Linked DNA regions of Arabidopsis thaliana. The protein of the gene in region 2 binds, or shares a complex with, the protein of the main gene of each other region. Each region holds a gene or a part of one and is shown on either strand. Other genes may lie near its edges. A codon is read from its position in the direction of its gene.

Region 1 (5,253 bases), on a different chromosome or scaffold from region 2:
CTATAATAATCTTAACTATGATCCTTAATTCTTGTTTAGGTCAAGATTATGTAGGACCAAAATTTACCAAATATAGTAGATTTTGTGCATTTATTACTTCAGGAGATGGGGATGATTAGATTTAGAGGGTATTGTTTGTTTAGGAAACTTTTTAAAGTAATCACACTAATTTAGGATTTGTGATAAAGTTACCGTTAAAGGATATGTATTGACTAAATTAAATTGTTGTATAATCACAAGATTTTGTTATGATAGAAAAGGTTATTATATGATTACTTTTTAACTATCATGGGGTTAACTTTGGTGGTGGTTGTATATTTGATCAAGCTGAGATTTGGTGTTTATTTTAGTGGGTCCTAAAATGATTTTTAAAATGGATCTTAGGAATAATAAAATTTATCTTGTGGCCATAAATTTAGAAAAGAATAATCCATCATAAGTTAAGCAAGATCTTCTCTTGAGATTTGATTCTATATAAGCCGGTGACATGTTAGGCCCTCCAAAACTTTATAATATATGTTTTAATTGTTTGGGTTGCATAATCTTAGGTAGGGTCATTTATAAAATCCCAATCCTCGTGATAGACACCTCACATGCCTTTGCTTATTACTAAGGAACCAAACCCTCTTTACCAGATTAAGTTTAATGATTATCATATATGAGCTGGCCATTTTCTGTATCCAAAGTTATAAACTTTATGGAATTAGATCACTAACATTTGGTTCCTTATATTTATTCAGATGTCTTGAAGAAGGAGCTGAAGATTTCTTATTGAAGCCTGTGAAATTAGCTGATGTGAAGAGATTAAGAGATTCTTTAATGAAAGCTGAGGAAAGAGCTTTTAAGAATATTATGCACAAGAGAGAGCTTGAAGCTAATGATATCTACTCGCAGCTAAAACGCGCAAAGATCTGAGTTTATCAGATTCCACGTACGATATGTTCTTTAAAAGCTCAAAGATTCACACACATGCATGTCCTGATTCTTTCGGCTTACAATTTTTGAGACATTACGGCTTCTTTTGCTGATAGAACCAAGACTGATCAAGAGTGACAAAGATGGGTTTTTATAAGATAGAAATGTAAATTGTAGACTTGGATTCATTAGAGAGGAGAAGAGATACATTTTTTTTTTCTTTACATGAGAGATATGTAAAATGGTGGTGTGTTATTTTGGAAGTTAACATATGAATTTCTTTTGTTAAGATTACTTAAATAATGATTTAGGAATGGATTAGTAGTTTAGTACCGTTCATTACACGAAGACAAGCTAATCTTTTGTCTAATTAAAATAAAGCTGTCTACATGAATCGAATCCAGCGAGATAAGTTAGTTATTTTAAGCGTTGGTTGGAACACTTTACATGGCTTTTCGTAGAAATTTCCCCAAGTTGGGTTTTATTAAGACCAAGAAAATTCTAGTCTCCTAGACTTTTTTTTGTTTCTTTTGTTAATTTAGTCTCCTAGGCTTTTTCATTCTATCTGAAAGCAAAATATGGTTATGCAATTTGGTTTAGCCAAAAAAACAAACTAAATTTTTCTAGTCCGGTTCATGTAACTTCATAATCAAACAAGTAAAAGTCGAATGTGACGCGTCTTGCCGAACGCAAAAACGGACCAGGCAAGAAGGTGTAGTTAGTTAATTCGGTTAATATTCAGCTGAGAGAAATCGAACCGGTTCCATATCTTGTAGATTATCCGGTTTACTTTCCGGATAAGATTTATAAGCAAAACAGAGTTAAAGTAGTAGATTTCTTCTATACGAGACCAAATCTGAAAACCCAAGTCAAGCTACAAAAACTTAACTCCAAGCGAACAAATCTCCTCATTCATTAAACAACAAAATTGTTTTCCGACAAAAAAGTGAATATCATTGAGTTACTGCGAAATCCCAACCGAGAGTGACATCTCAAACCAAAAGATGGAGTCTATATTAAAGAGACGAAGACTCCAAAGTCAAGCTACAAAATTTCCAAGCAAAGATTACACAGAGAAAACTTTCCGACCAAATGTGAATGTTTATGAAAGTTTCTGCGAAACTCCAGTCATGTCGGATGTACAAAGCCATACACCAATGTAAAACCGACACGTGGAAAGCTAAGATTCCTAGCTTTTCTTTCTTCATGAGTCTCCAATAGCCAAAGAGTCAACTCCAAAAAAAAAAACCCATTTTTGCATTGAAATGGTCTCATGATGGGGTATTTTGGGTAACTAATTAGTCCTGTCTACATCTTCCCATAAATTAACAGAGTAGGAGCGGATTAAAGAAGCAAGACGATTCAAAAGAAAAAAGAGAGAAGAAAGTCCACTAAAGAAAAGAGAATAGATATAGATCAATGGCGTTTGAAGCTCTTACCGGAATCAATGGTGATCTAATCACCAGATCATGGTCAGCCTCGAAGCAAGCTTACCTAACCGAGCGCTATCACAAGGAAGAAGCAGGAGCAGTCGTAATCTTCGCTTTCCAACCATCTTTCTCAGAGAAAGATTTCTTCGATCCGGACAATAAATCTTCCTTTGGAGAAATCAAGTTGAACCGTGTTCAGTTTCCTTGTATGAGGAAAATCGGTAAAGGTGATGTAGCTACTGTTAACGAAGCTTTCCTCAAGAATCTTGAAGCTATCATTGATCCAAGAACCTCATTTCAAGCTTCTGTAAGAAGATTGAAAACATCCGAATATATTTTTCTTTTTTTTTCTTTTTTGGTCTCTTATGCTTTTACTTCTTCAGGTGGAAATGGCTGTGAGGAGTAGAAAACAGATAGTGTTCACAGGACATTCCTCAGGAGGTGCAACTGCAATCTTAGCAACAGTTTGGTATTTGGAGAAATACTTCATACGCAATCCAAATGTTTACCTTGAGCCTCGTTGTGTGACATTTGGAGCTCCTTTGGTTGGTGACTCTATCTTCAGTCACGCACTTGGGAGAGAAAAATGGAGCCGGTTCTTTGTGAACTTTGTCTCAAGATTCGATATTGTCCCTCGGATTATGCTTGCTCGAAAGGCGTCTGTAGAGGAAACTTTGCCTCATGTTCTTGCCCAATTGGATCCCAGAAAGTCTTCCGTCCAAGAGAGTGAACAGAGAATAACAGAGTTTTACACAAGGGTGATGCGAGACACATCAACTGTTGCAAACCAAGCTGTTTGTGAATTGACTGGAAGCGCAGAGGCGTTTTTAGAGACCCTTTCTAGTTTCCTTGAGCTAAGTCCTTATAGACCCGCCGGTACTTTTGTTTTCTCTACAGAGAAGAGATTGGTTGCAGTGAACAACTCGGACGCCATTCTTCAAATGCTGTTTTACACTTCTCAAGCCAGCGATGAACAAGAATGGTCTCTAATTCCATTTCGAAGTATCAGAGATCATCATAGCTATGAGGAACTGGTACAGTCGATGGGAAAGAAGTTGTTTAATCATTTGGATGGAGAAAACTCAATAGAGTCTACGCTCAATGACCTTGGAGTGGTAAGTCTCTCTCTCTCTCTCTTTTCATACTGTGCAGCTCCATAGCTCCATTCTTGCAATCATTTAAACCCTTCAGAGTGTTTCCTTTTTCTGCAGAGCACAAGAGGCAGACAGTACGTTCAAGCTGCATTAGAGGAAGAGAAGAAACGAGTAGAGAATCAGAAGAAGATTATTCAGGTTTGTGGTTGATAAGCTTGTTCATGAATAATGCAGGTACGTGCTTCGTCTGTTTGTGTCTAACAACATAAAACTTGTTGGTTCTGTGGTTTTTAGGTGATCGAGCAAGAGAGGTTTTTAAAGAAACTAGCATGGATAGAAGATGAATACAAGCCAAAGTGTCAAGCCCATAAAAATGGGTATTATGATTCCTTCAAAGTTTCAAATGAAGAGAATGACTTCAAAGCAAACGTCAAGAGAGCTGAGTTAGCCGGTGTTTTTGACGAGGTGCTTGGTTTAATGAAGAAATGTCAACTTCCAGATGAGTTCGAAGGGGACATAGATTGGATCAAGTTAGCAACTCGATACCGCAGATTAGTTGAGCCTCTTGATATTGCAAACTACCATCGACATTTAAAGAACGAAGACACAGGGCCGTACATGAAAAGAGGAAGACCAACCCGCTACATATATGCTCAGAGAGGCTACGAACATTATATACTGAAGCCAAACGGAATGATTGCAGAAGATGTATTTTGGAACAAGGTAAATGGTCTTAACTTAGGGTTACAGCTAGAAGAAATTCAAGAGACTCTAAAGAATTCGGGATCCGAGTGCGGATCATGCTTTTGGGCTGAGGTTGAAGAACTCAAAGGAAAGCCATACGAGGAAGTTGAGGTAAGAGTTAAGACATTAGAAGGGATGCTTGGAGAATGGATCACAGACGGGGAGGTAGATGATAAGGAAATATTTCTGGAGGGTTCAACGTTTAGAAAGTGGTGGATTACGCTTCCCAAAAATCACAAATCGCATTCTCCTCTGCGAGACTATATGATGGATGAAATAACAGATACCTGAACCTTAGGTGGTGGAGTATTTAAGCTATTAGAACACTTGCTTCTCTTAATTTGTGCAATAAGAAATGTTTATCAATCTGGTTTCCACTTCATGATGATCTTAGAATAAGAAACATGTTGTATGATCATTGTGAAGTAATGTAATAGCTCTCTATTCTAATGTCAAATTTGGTTTCCACTTTACAGTGATCTTAGAATATATACGTTACTCTACTAAAGCCTAAAGCCATCTCAAATAGCATGAACCAGTAACAAACAACCTTCCTTAGATTGAAATGGTCTCATGATGGGGTATTTTGGGTAATTACTCCTGTCTACATCTTCCTACTATATTAACAGAGTAGGAGGACTAAGAATCAAGACGACTCAAAAGAAAAAAGAGAAGAAAGTCCACTCAAGAAAAGAGAAATGGCGTTTGAAGCTCTTACGGGAGTCAACGGTGATCTAGTCACCATATCATGGATGGCGTCGAAGGGAGCTAACCAAACGGAGCACTATCTCAAAGAAGAAGTAGGAGGAACCGTTTTTTTCGCCTTCCGAGCATCTTTCTCGTCGGAAGATTTGTTCGCTACGGAGAATACATCTCCCTTTGGAGAAATAAAGATGAAGCGTAATCAATTTCCTTGTATGAGAAGCATCGGCAACGACGTTGACACTACTGTTAACGAAGCTTTCCTCAAGTCACTTGAAGTTCTCATTGGTCCAAGAACCTCATTTCATGCTTCTGTAAGTAAACAAAAGCTTCTTAAATGCGTTTTAAATCGAAAACATCAGAATAAT
Region 2 (3,595 bases):
AATAAGCATACCAGAGATCAAAACCCATAGTTGGTTCTTGAAGAATCTCCCTGCTGATCTAATGAACGAGAGCAACACAGGAAGCCAGTTCCAGGAGCCTGAACAACCAATGCAAAGCCTTGACACAATCATGCAAATCATCTCTGAAGCCACAATTCCCGCTGTTCGAAACCGTTGCCTAGACGATTTCATGACTGACAATCTTGATCTTGACGATGACATGGATGACTTTGACTCTGAATCTGAAATCGACATTGACAGTAGCGGAGAGATAGTTTACGCTCTCTAATAAAAAGCCTTTTTTAACAACCAAAACACTTCTCTATCTGTTCTAAGACCAGTAGTGTTCTGATCCTCTGGTTTCAAATTCTACCAATTTTTGTATTGTCTCTGTTTGTTTCTTGTTTTCTTCATGCACACATATATCATATATGTAATGTAAAATATCATCTGTGTATATTATATATATATTCCAATGTCACACAAAAGCAAATTAACAGTTAAAACAGTTGAAGCAAGTTGAGGTTATGTTCTGTTTTTTCCTCTGTGATCGTCAGATTCTTCATTTCTGGTTTCAATATTTTCCACAAGAACGCAGTATCTTCGTCGCATTTCACTTCCAGATTCTCTAGATTCTTCACAGAATCCGGTAACTCGCATCGATAACAATCTTTCATCGAAATCTTCTCAAGCTTCTTGAGCTTTCCAATTTCTAGAGGCAGGTTTTTCAGTTGGAAGCCACCAGAAACATCAAGAAACCGCAAATTGTCGAGTCTGTCAATCGTTTCAGGTAGCTCTAAGAGACTAGCACAAGAACTCAGTCTCAGCGTTTCAAGGTCCCTTAAGTCACCTATAGCTTCTATGACTCTGCAAAGCTTGTTACAATTTGTGACACTAAGCTTCTTCAATGAAACAACTTGAGAGATCCAATATGGTAATTCATCAAGATTGTAGCAATAGTCAATCTCGATTTCCTGTAGACTTTGTAAAGTTTCAGAAACATCTTCTAATTCGTTGAGAGCATCAACAACGTGACAAAACCATAAGGACAACTTCTCAAGACTCTTGAGACCAAGTTTGGGAATGTCAAGCAAACTGATTGAAACTTTCTCGAATCTGATCCGTTTCAGGTTTGGTAACGAGCTGAGACAAGACAAGTTAGTCAACTTTGCAGGCTCAAGACCGTGATTTATGATAATCACAACCTTCAATTCCTTCATAGTAGCAATGAAGTTTGGTAATGCATAGTTTGATGAAGAGATATTAAGAACTAAAGCTTCAACATTTGGACAATCCATTTCAAACCAACTTGATGCAAATGAATCATCTGTAAACAAAAAAGAAGAAGATCAATCATATGAAGTAAATATGATTAAAGGGTGTATGAAACAGAGCAAAGAAATAATTATATTACCAGTAGAGATAGAAAAGAGAGATGCATTAATAACAATAGGTTGTTTTGGATTTAAACACCAGTTTGGGAATTTGTTATCTTGTATCTCCAAGTTTAATCTTTTCCTTTCGAAAATCGAAGACGACTCTTTTAGGCATTGATTTATAGCAAATTCTCTAAGGACGTTGTCTTGTTTAACCAATAACTCATTGTAGAAACCATCTTCATACTCATTTCTCCTATATTAAAGCAAATAAATAAAGGAAAGTTGGGAAAAATATGGTGAAACCGTTTTCTATAGGCTTTAGGGTTAAGAATTGGTAGATGAATGGAAAGTAACATACCCAATAGGAAGAAGTTTAAGGAGATTGCGAGAGGCAAGATCTTGGAGGTTATTCATACCCTCTTTACCGTATGATGCAGACCATAAGTCAATTATAGTGGAAGCTATTATCCTTTGGTCTTCAAGAAATGAGGCCATGTCCAAGAAACACTCTCGAAGATTGTGGGGCAAGGCATCAAAGCTTTGAATCGAATTCGAATTCATAATGGTTCCTATGAAGGGAGAGGAGAATTATGAATTAAGATGAAAACCAAGCAATTTGAGAGAAATTTTAATCTATTGACCGACTCTTTCTTTGATTATAAAAAACGTGACTCTTCATAAAAGCCATTAGATCAAATTTATAACGGAAAAGTCACGCGGTACTTTGAAGTTTCAAACAAACCATTGTTTGAATCCCAGAACAGAAGTTTAGCTAGCAAAGGAAAAAGGAGACTTGACTTCACATTTTAGGATTTTCAAAGAATTTACCAACATTATATTTTTAACATTAAGAATGTTGAATATTACATTTATAGTTTGTCAAAAATGTTGGTGAATAACTCTGTTCAAATCTATTCAAGTTAGATAAGGATCAAGGATTTAGTAGTACTCTTAAATGGTTTTAAAAGATTGACCTACACAAAATTCTTTGGCATGACATTTTCTCTGTACTTGGACTCAGTAGCCATTATAATGTATATAACAACGAAAATAATGAATAACAAACATTACAAGATCCACAGAAGCTACTACGATAACGTTCTTTCACTTAAAACATTTGAAGCAAGTTCAGGTTATGCTCTATTTCCTCCTCCTGAACTCTCAAATTTCTCATTTTTGGCTTCAGCCTTTCCCACAACAATCCAGTTTCTTCATCGCATTTGACCTCCAGATTCTCTAGATTCGTCACTGACTCCGGCAACTCGCATCCCGAACACTTTCTCATCGAGATCTTTTTCAGATTCTGCAGTTTGCCAATCTCTTGAGGCAACTTTCTCAATCCTAAGCAATGAGAAATATCCAGAAACCGCAAGTTGCTGAGTCCCTCAGTCGCTTCAGGCAGCTCAGAGAGATTCATAGAAGAACACAGCCTCAACACTTCTAGTCTACTCAAGTTGCCTATAGCTTCTGGAAGTTGAGAGAGCTTGTTACAGTTTGTGATGCTAAGTGTCTTCAATGAAACAATTTCAGAGATCCAATACGGTAACTCATCAAGATCATAGCAGTAGTCTATGTCAATCTCTTGTAATTTCGATAGAGCATTAGAGACAACTATATCTTCTGTGTCGTAGAAAACCTCACCGAAACTACACATGACCAAAGACAGCTTCTTAAGACTGCTGAGTTGCAGTTGGGGAATGTCTAGCAAAGTGATTGAAACTTTTTCCAATCTAATCCGTTTCAGGTTTGGTAATGAGCTGAGACACGAGAAATTACTCAATCTTGCTGGATAAAAACCGTGATTTGTGATTGTCAGAACCTTCAGCTTCTTCATTCCAGAGATGAAGCTTGGCAATGCATAGTCTGATGAAGAGAGATTTAGAACTAAAGCCTCAACATTGGGGCAATCCATTTCCAACCATTTCGATGAGAACAAATCATCTGTAAGAAAAAGAGAGACCAATCATAGTTATAGAGAAGTCATATTTCTAGAAACAGCAGAGATTTGTATAATCATTAAGTTTAATTTTCAGAAAAAGAAGACCCCAAAGAATTACCCGTAGAGATAGACAATAAAGAGGCATTAATAGTATTCAAACACCAGTCTGGAAATGTATTCTCTAGTATCTCCAGATTTAGTCTTTTTCTTTCTAAGTTTTCCTTAAATTCGCTTTGACAGATAGCCAACTCCCTAAGGATATCATGTTGAGTCACTA
Region 3 (4,768 bases), about 22 Mb from region 2:
CGAGCAGGTTGTTTTTGCTGCTTCAAATGAGGAATCCAACGCCTTAGTACGTTTTCTAATTTCCAGTTTAATTATTTCTATGCGTCTTTAACTATATACTCAGGCATTTTTATTGATTATTGTGTATGAAGTTAAATTTTGGTATATGTTTGTATTAAATTTATAGGTTTCTTTACCAACGCCAACACTTCCATCGCCATCTCCGGCTACCAAACCGCCGTCGCCAGCTCTCAAACCGCCGACGCCGTCGTACAAGCCACCCACGCTGCCAACTACTCCTATTAAACCACCCACCACAAAACCTCCGGTCAAACCTCCAACTATTCCGGTTACACCAGTAAAACCTCCGGTTTCAACTCCTCCGATCAAACTACCGCCGGTACAACCACCTACGTACAAACCCCCAACGCCAACAGTTAAACCACCGTCCGTCCAACCACCTACGTACAAACCCCCAACTCCAACGGTTAAACCACCCACTACATCACCGGTTAAACCACCCACTACGCCACCAGTTCAATCACCGCCGGTCCAACCACCTACGTACAAACCCCCAACGTCACCGGTTAAACCACCCACCACAACTCCACCGGTTAAACCCCCCACCACGACGCCACCGGTCCAACCACCTACGTACAATCCCCCAACTACACCGGTTAAACCACCTACAGCGCCGCCTGTCAAACCTCCAACACCACCTCCCGTAAGAACTCGGATAGGTAATAATAATTTTCTTTCAAAAGTGTGATGATTATCGGTCGTTGATTAGATCGGATGTATAATTGGACTAAATTTTGGACGGTTTAGATTGCGTGCCTTTATGTGGGACGAGGTGTGGGCAACACTCGAGGAAGAACGTATGTATGAGAGCGTGCGTCACGTGCTGCTACCGCTGCAAGTGTGTTCCCCCAGGCACCTACGGTAATAAGGAGAAGTGTGGATCTTGTTACGCCAACATGAAGACACGTGGTGGAAAATCCAAATGTCCTTGAACCTTTATATGACGATGGTTGTTAAACGAAATAATTTAAATCAATGGAGTTTTTATAAGTTTGTAATGCGTTTGTTTTTGTTATAGTAATATTGAGTTGGATCTTTGTTTACGGGACGTAGAATACTAAATAATGAAAAAAACCTTCTCGATGAATTAAGGGTTTTATGAATTTGTTTTGTATTGAATAATATAGGGATGGATAAAGTTTTATTATTCTAACAGGTTACTTTATTAGGCATTTCTTCGGCTCATGTAACTCTTGTATCGCTGAAACTATGTAATAGATAGAAGAACCTAAAAAAAGAAAGAAAACAAGAAATGCACATAGCGAAGCTCAAAAGATGAGTGTTCTGCTAGCGGTAATGTTGTTATTCAGTTGGGTCAAATGCTCTAATTGCAAATCTTATTTGGGCCTTATATAGACTCTTATGTGCATATGGTCCAGCCTATTTGGGCCGATGTGTTTGAAGATCATTTGGGAAAGTCTTGCGCAAGGAGAACTTACTTGGGACTTGGGAGACTTGGAGTAACAAATTCGTCTTGGAGTAACAAATACATGTCAACTTATTCCACAAGTTCTTTGTGATAATGATATACATATTTAAATGTTTTAAAAAAGGGAAAGAATAAACAAACTCTTTGTGACTTTTTGGGTATTTATGATTCTTTTGGTCCTTCTCTTGTACACATTTGAGTCCTATCTTATATGGTAAGCTTTCAAATGCAAGCGTGTTATTTTTATTCACACTTGTTCTATCTTAATAGTATGTTGAACTCTTCGCCTTTGGCGATTCTTCCCGGAAAAGGGACCATTGACTTTCAGATACACTTCTTTTTTTTTTTTATAATAATTATTATCAGTTCAATGATTTTTCAATATGGACTCTCGTTCTCAGACATTTATTTCTCTCAGTCTTACAATATAAATTTTCATTCTTACCATCCATAATTTTGTATTGTCTTCTCCACAGATCTATTCCAGCTCACGCCATGGAGTCTTCTTCTTCACTGTAATCATTACAATTCACTCTCTTGTCTTTCTAACTTAACCTGCTTTGTTCAGCTTCTTTCGTTTCTTGAAAACCGTATTTTTTTGTTGATGATATTTTTATTTCTTGTTCCTTAGACATTGACTTAAATTCACAATTTTCCTGGTTTTTAGAAAAGGTTCTGCACTTGGGAAGCTTGTGGTGACCTCTGGTCTCTTACATAGCTCATGGAGTAAGATCTTGGAGATACATAACCCACCTTATTCGAATCATGATCCAGGTCTACAAGTTTCAAAAAAAAAAAAAGATTCAGGTCTAGAATTTCAGATTCACCGAGAAGAGAAATTCACACTTGTGGTTTTTAGCGCACCACCGATCTGCAGAAGTAGTAGCTCTGATTCTACTCTTCTTCATGTGAAAGATAAAGAAAATCCTTTCCCATTCCTCTGCTCCGAGAACAACCCATCATTCTCTCTTCACACACCTGCTTTTAACCTTTTTACCTCTGCTTCTACTAGTCTCACTTACCTCAAATCAGAGGTAATTTAATCTCCATCTCTTCAGTCTTATCTCGTTTTTAAGACTAATTCAGAATCTTGAAAGTTAGTGTCTGCAGAAATATATCTCTGCCGTGTTTGCAATTCAGTCCAATAGCTTTTTAATACTCTGTTTCAGATTTTGTTTGATCTAGTATATGTTTCTTTGTGTATTGTCTGGTTTTAAAAGTCAACAACTATAAGAAACAGAATCTTTGTACGTAGAAAACTTGAAAGTTATATGTCTCTTGCAGTTGCTCCAAACGCTCAAGTCTGAGAAACCGGTGATCATCACCGGAGCTGCGTTAGGAGGGTCTGTTGCATCTCTCTATACGCTATGGCTTCTTGAAACCATCGAACCGACGTTAAAACGTCCCTTATGCATCACATTTGGCTCGCCATTGATCGGAGACGCTTCTCTTCAACAGATTCTTGAGAACTCTGTGAGGAATTCATGTTTCCTTCACGTTGTATCAGCACAAACTCGTATCAAGATGGACTTCTTCAAACCTTTTGGAACGTTTTTGATCTGTTTTGATTCCGGATGTGTTTGCATCGAGGACCATGTGGCGGTCACAGAGTTGCTAAACGGTGTTCATGATTCGGGTCTAGTAGACTACAGCCAAGTTCTAAATCGTCTTGACCAATCCATGTTGTCTCTGGCGGATTCAAGATTGATCCCTGAAGATGTTATCAAAGGAATAGAGAAACGTGCAGAAATGAAAAATCTGCGATTTGATATGATGTTTAAGAAACTAAACGACATGAAGATATCGATGGCTTATATAGAGTGGTACAAAAAGAAATGCAAGGAGGTCAAGATCGGTTACTACGATCGGTTCAAGACTCAGCTCGCGTTTCCGTCGAAAGAGTTTGATATAAACATCAAGAATCACCACAAATCAGAGCTAAACCGTTTTTGGAAATCAGTAGTTGAAGAAGTAGAGAGGAGGCCGCAGAGCGATGCATCGATTCTCAAGAGACGGTTTCTATTCTCGGGGAACAATTACAGACGGATGATCGAACCACTCGATATTGCTGAATATTACCTCGAGGGTCGGAAAGAGTATCGAACTACGGGAAGGTCTCACCACTATGTTATGCTTGAGAAATGGTTTGGAATGGAATCGATATTAATAGAAAAGGAAAGATGCAAAAAGAGAGATTTGAGTGATCTTTTGACGTTTGATTCTTGTTTTTGGGCTGAAGTTGAGGATTCGTTGATTGTAATTAATCAGTTGAATACAACTGTGGGGATGAGAGACGATGTGAGAGAGGTATTGACTAGAAAACTCGTGGAGTTTGAGGGATACGTGTGGGAGATAATCACAAAACGTGAGGTTTCGCCGGAGATATTCTTAGAGGAAAGCAGTTTCATGAAGTGGTGGAAAGAGTACAAAAAGATCAAAGGCTTTAATTCTTCATACTTGACCGAGTTTATGAACACCCGGAAGTACGAGAGTTATGGTAAGTCACAATAATGGAATAATTTGGTAATTTATTTACATTTCAGGTTACTAGTGTGTGATTGTTATTATTCATTTACAACGAGAATTAGTAGTTTCTAGTAAATTTCGTTACCAATTTCTTCCCGTTTACAAGAAAAAAAAGTATTATATTTAAGAAAGCAAAAGCAAAAGACAAAAGTGTGTCATTGCGAGAGTAACAGAAGTGAAATAAAATAACGTTATTTATGTGTTCTTGTAAGGGTGGTATGATGAAGTTTACATCAATCGCAACAACTCTTAGAGTATTCGTCTTAGGATCGTGACGGATTGCATAGAACTAACTACTCCAGATCGTAATTTGCATATATAACCTCACCCGTGTGAGCAATGCCTCTAAAGTTTACAGTACTAGTCCTTATTAATAAACTTACTTTCAATGAAATCCTCCAAGACCCACGAATAATCAAATGAATTACTCACGTCAAATCTCACTAAGCTACTACTCCTTTTTGTTAAACGTCCTAAACTCCTAATCTATATACTCAATAAGGAAATCTTTTTGAGTATACCTTAGGTAAAGGGCCAATAATAAACCCAATAAAGGCCCATTAACGTTAGGGCAATAGAGGTGCATTAAAAAGAGAGCAATAACTAATATGTTCGAGCCATCTTGATCAGTATCTCGTTGATTATTCTTGGTCTTCTTGCTATGCCTGCCTTTCCATGGCAAAACCCTAAATCTCTTGAAGAAAACTTTCTGCTCAAGAATCCCACTCCATTCTTTTTTTGTCGCCTTGATCT

What was found. Proteins that work in one complex are often made in the same cells at the same time.
Region 1: the proteins of AT5G66890 (region 2) and EDS1 are in contact, whole or in part, in a crystal structure (PDB 8YN0), measured with the Arabidopsis thaliana proteins. Residues at the interface, in NP_201490.1 of Arabidopsis thaliana: Lys404 (codon at 539), His407 (codon at 530), Asn408 (codon at 527), Leu409 (codon at 524), Asn410 (codon at 521); in NP_190392.1 of Arabidopsis thaliana: Arg383 (codon at 3,749), Lys387 (codon at 3,761), Glu416 (codon at 3,848), Phe419 (codon at 3,857), Lys420 (codon at 3,860), Val423 (codon at 3,869), Glu427 (codon at 3,881).
Region 3: the proteins of AT5G66890 (region 2) and SAG101 are in contact, whole or in part, in a crystal structure (PDB 8YN0), measured with the Arabidopsis thaliana proteins. Residues at the interface, in NP_201490.1 of Arabidopsis thaliana: Leu190 (codon at 1,181), Lys214 (codon at 1,109), Trp236 (codon at 1,043), Phe237 (codon at 1,040), Tyr264 (codon at 959), Tyr266 (codon at 953), Asn288 (codon at 887), Asn290 (codon at 881), Ala314 (codon at 809), Phe338 (codon at 737), Gln339 (codon at 734), Tyr362 (codon at 665), Arg363 (codon at 662), Asp383 (codon at 602), Phe386 (codon at 593), His407 (codon at 530), Asn408 (codon at 527), Leu409 (codon at 524), Leu411 (codon at 518), Leu412 (codon at 515), Leu414 (codon at 509), Phe415 (codon at 506); in NP_568307.3 of Arabidopsis thaliana: Leu288 (codon at 3,248), Met292 (codon at 3,260), Lys296 (codon at 3,272), Asp299 (codon at 3,281), Ile302 (codon at 3,290), Tyr306 (codon at 3,302), Trp309 (codon at 3,311), Tyr310 (codon at 3,314), Lys313 (codon at 3,323), Cys314 (codon at 3,326), Val317 (codon at 3,335), Arg324 (codon at 3,356), Pro332 (codon at 3,380), Ser333 (codon at 3,383), Lys334 (codon at 3,386), Glu335 (codon at 3,389), Phe336 (codon at 3,392), Asp337 (codon at 3,395), Ile338 (codon at 3,398), Asn339 (codon at 3,401), Asn342 (codon at 3,410), His343 (codon at 3,413), Glu347 (codon at 3,425), Arg350 (codon at 3,434).

What each region holds. Positions count from the first base shown.
Region 1 is NC_003074.8:17,754,774-17,760,026, reverse strand, and holds EDS1 (alpha/beta-Hydrolases superfamily protein), read left to right. Parts: upstream 1-1,879; 5' UTR 1,880-2,334; coding exon 2,335-2,652; intron 2,653-2,728; coding exon 2,729-3,460; intron 3,461-3,556; coding exon 3,557-3,637; intron 3,638-3,733; coding exon 3,734-4,474; 3' UTR 4,475-4,698; downstream 4,699-5,253. Other genes in the region: RR5 (response regulator 5), read left to right, coding at 741-915; AT3G48080 (alpha/beta-Hydrolases superfamily protein), read left to right, coding at 4,882-5,199. UniProt on the Arabidopsis thaliana protein: Positive regulator of basal resistance and of effector-triggered immunity specifically mediated by TIR-NB-LRR (TNL) resistance proteins.
Region 2 is NC_003076.8:26,712,444-26,716,038, forward strand, and holds AT5G66890 (Leucine-rich repeat (LRR) family protein), read right to left. Parts: upstream 2,030-3,595; 5' UTR 1,941-2,029; coding exon 1,738-1,940; intron 1,633-1,737; coding exon 1,415-1,632; intron 1,328-1,414; coding exon 501-1,327; downstream 1-500. Other genes in the region: SNRK2.3 (sucrose nonfermenting 1(SNF1)-related protein kinase 2.3), read left to right, coding at 1-289; AT5G66900 (Disease resistance protein (CC-NBS-LRR class) family), read right to left, coding at 2,488-3,320, 3,437-3,595. UniProt on the Arabidopsis thaliana protein: Possible disease resistance protein.
Region 3 is NC_003076.8:4,826,770-4,831,537, forward strand, and holds SAG101 (senescence-associated gene 101), read left to right. Parts: upstream 1-1,729; 5' UTR 1,730-1,984; coding exon 1,985-2,004; intron 2,005-2,156; coding exon 2,157-2,523; coding exon of another isoform or gene 2,524-2,532; exon of another isoform or gene 2,533-2,643; intron 2,644-2,773; coding exon 2,774-4,000; 3' UTR 4,001-4,213; downstream 4,214-4,768. Other genes in the region: AT5G14920 (Gibberellin-regulated family protein), read left to right, coding at 8-46, 167-719, 808-992. UniProt on the Arabidopsis thaliana protein: Acyl hydrolase that triggers the leaf senescence onset. Can use triolein as substrate to produce oleic acids.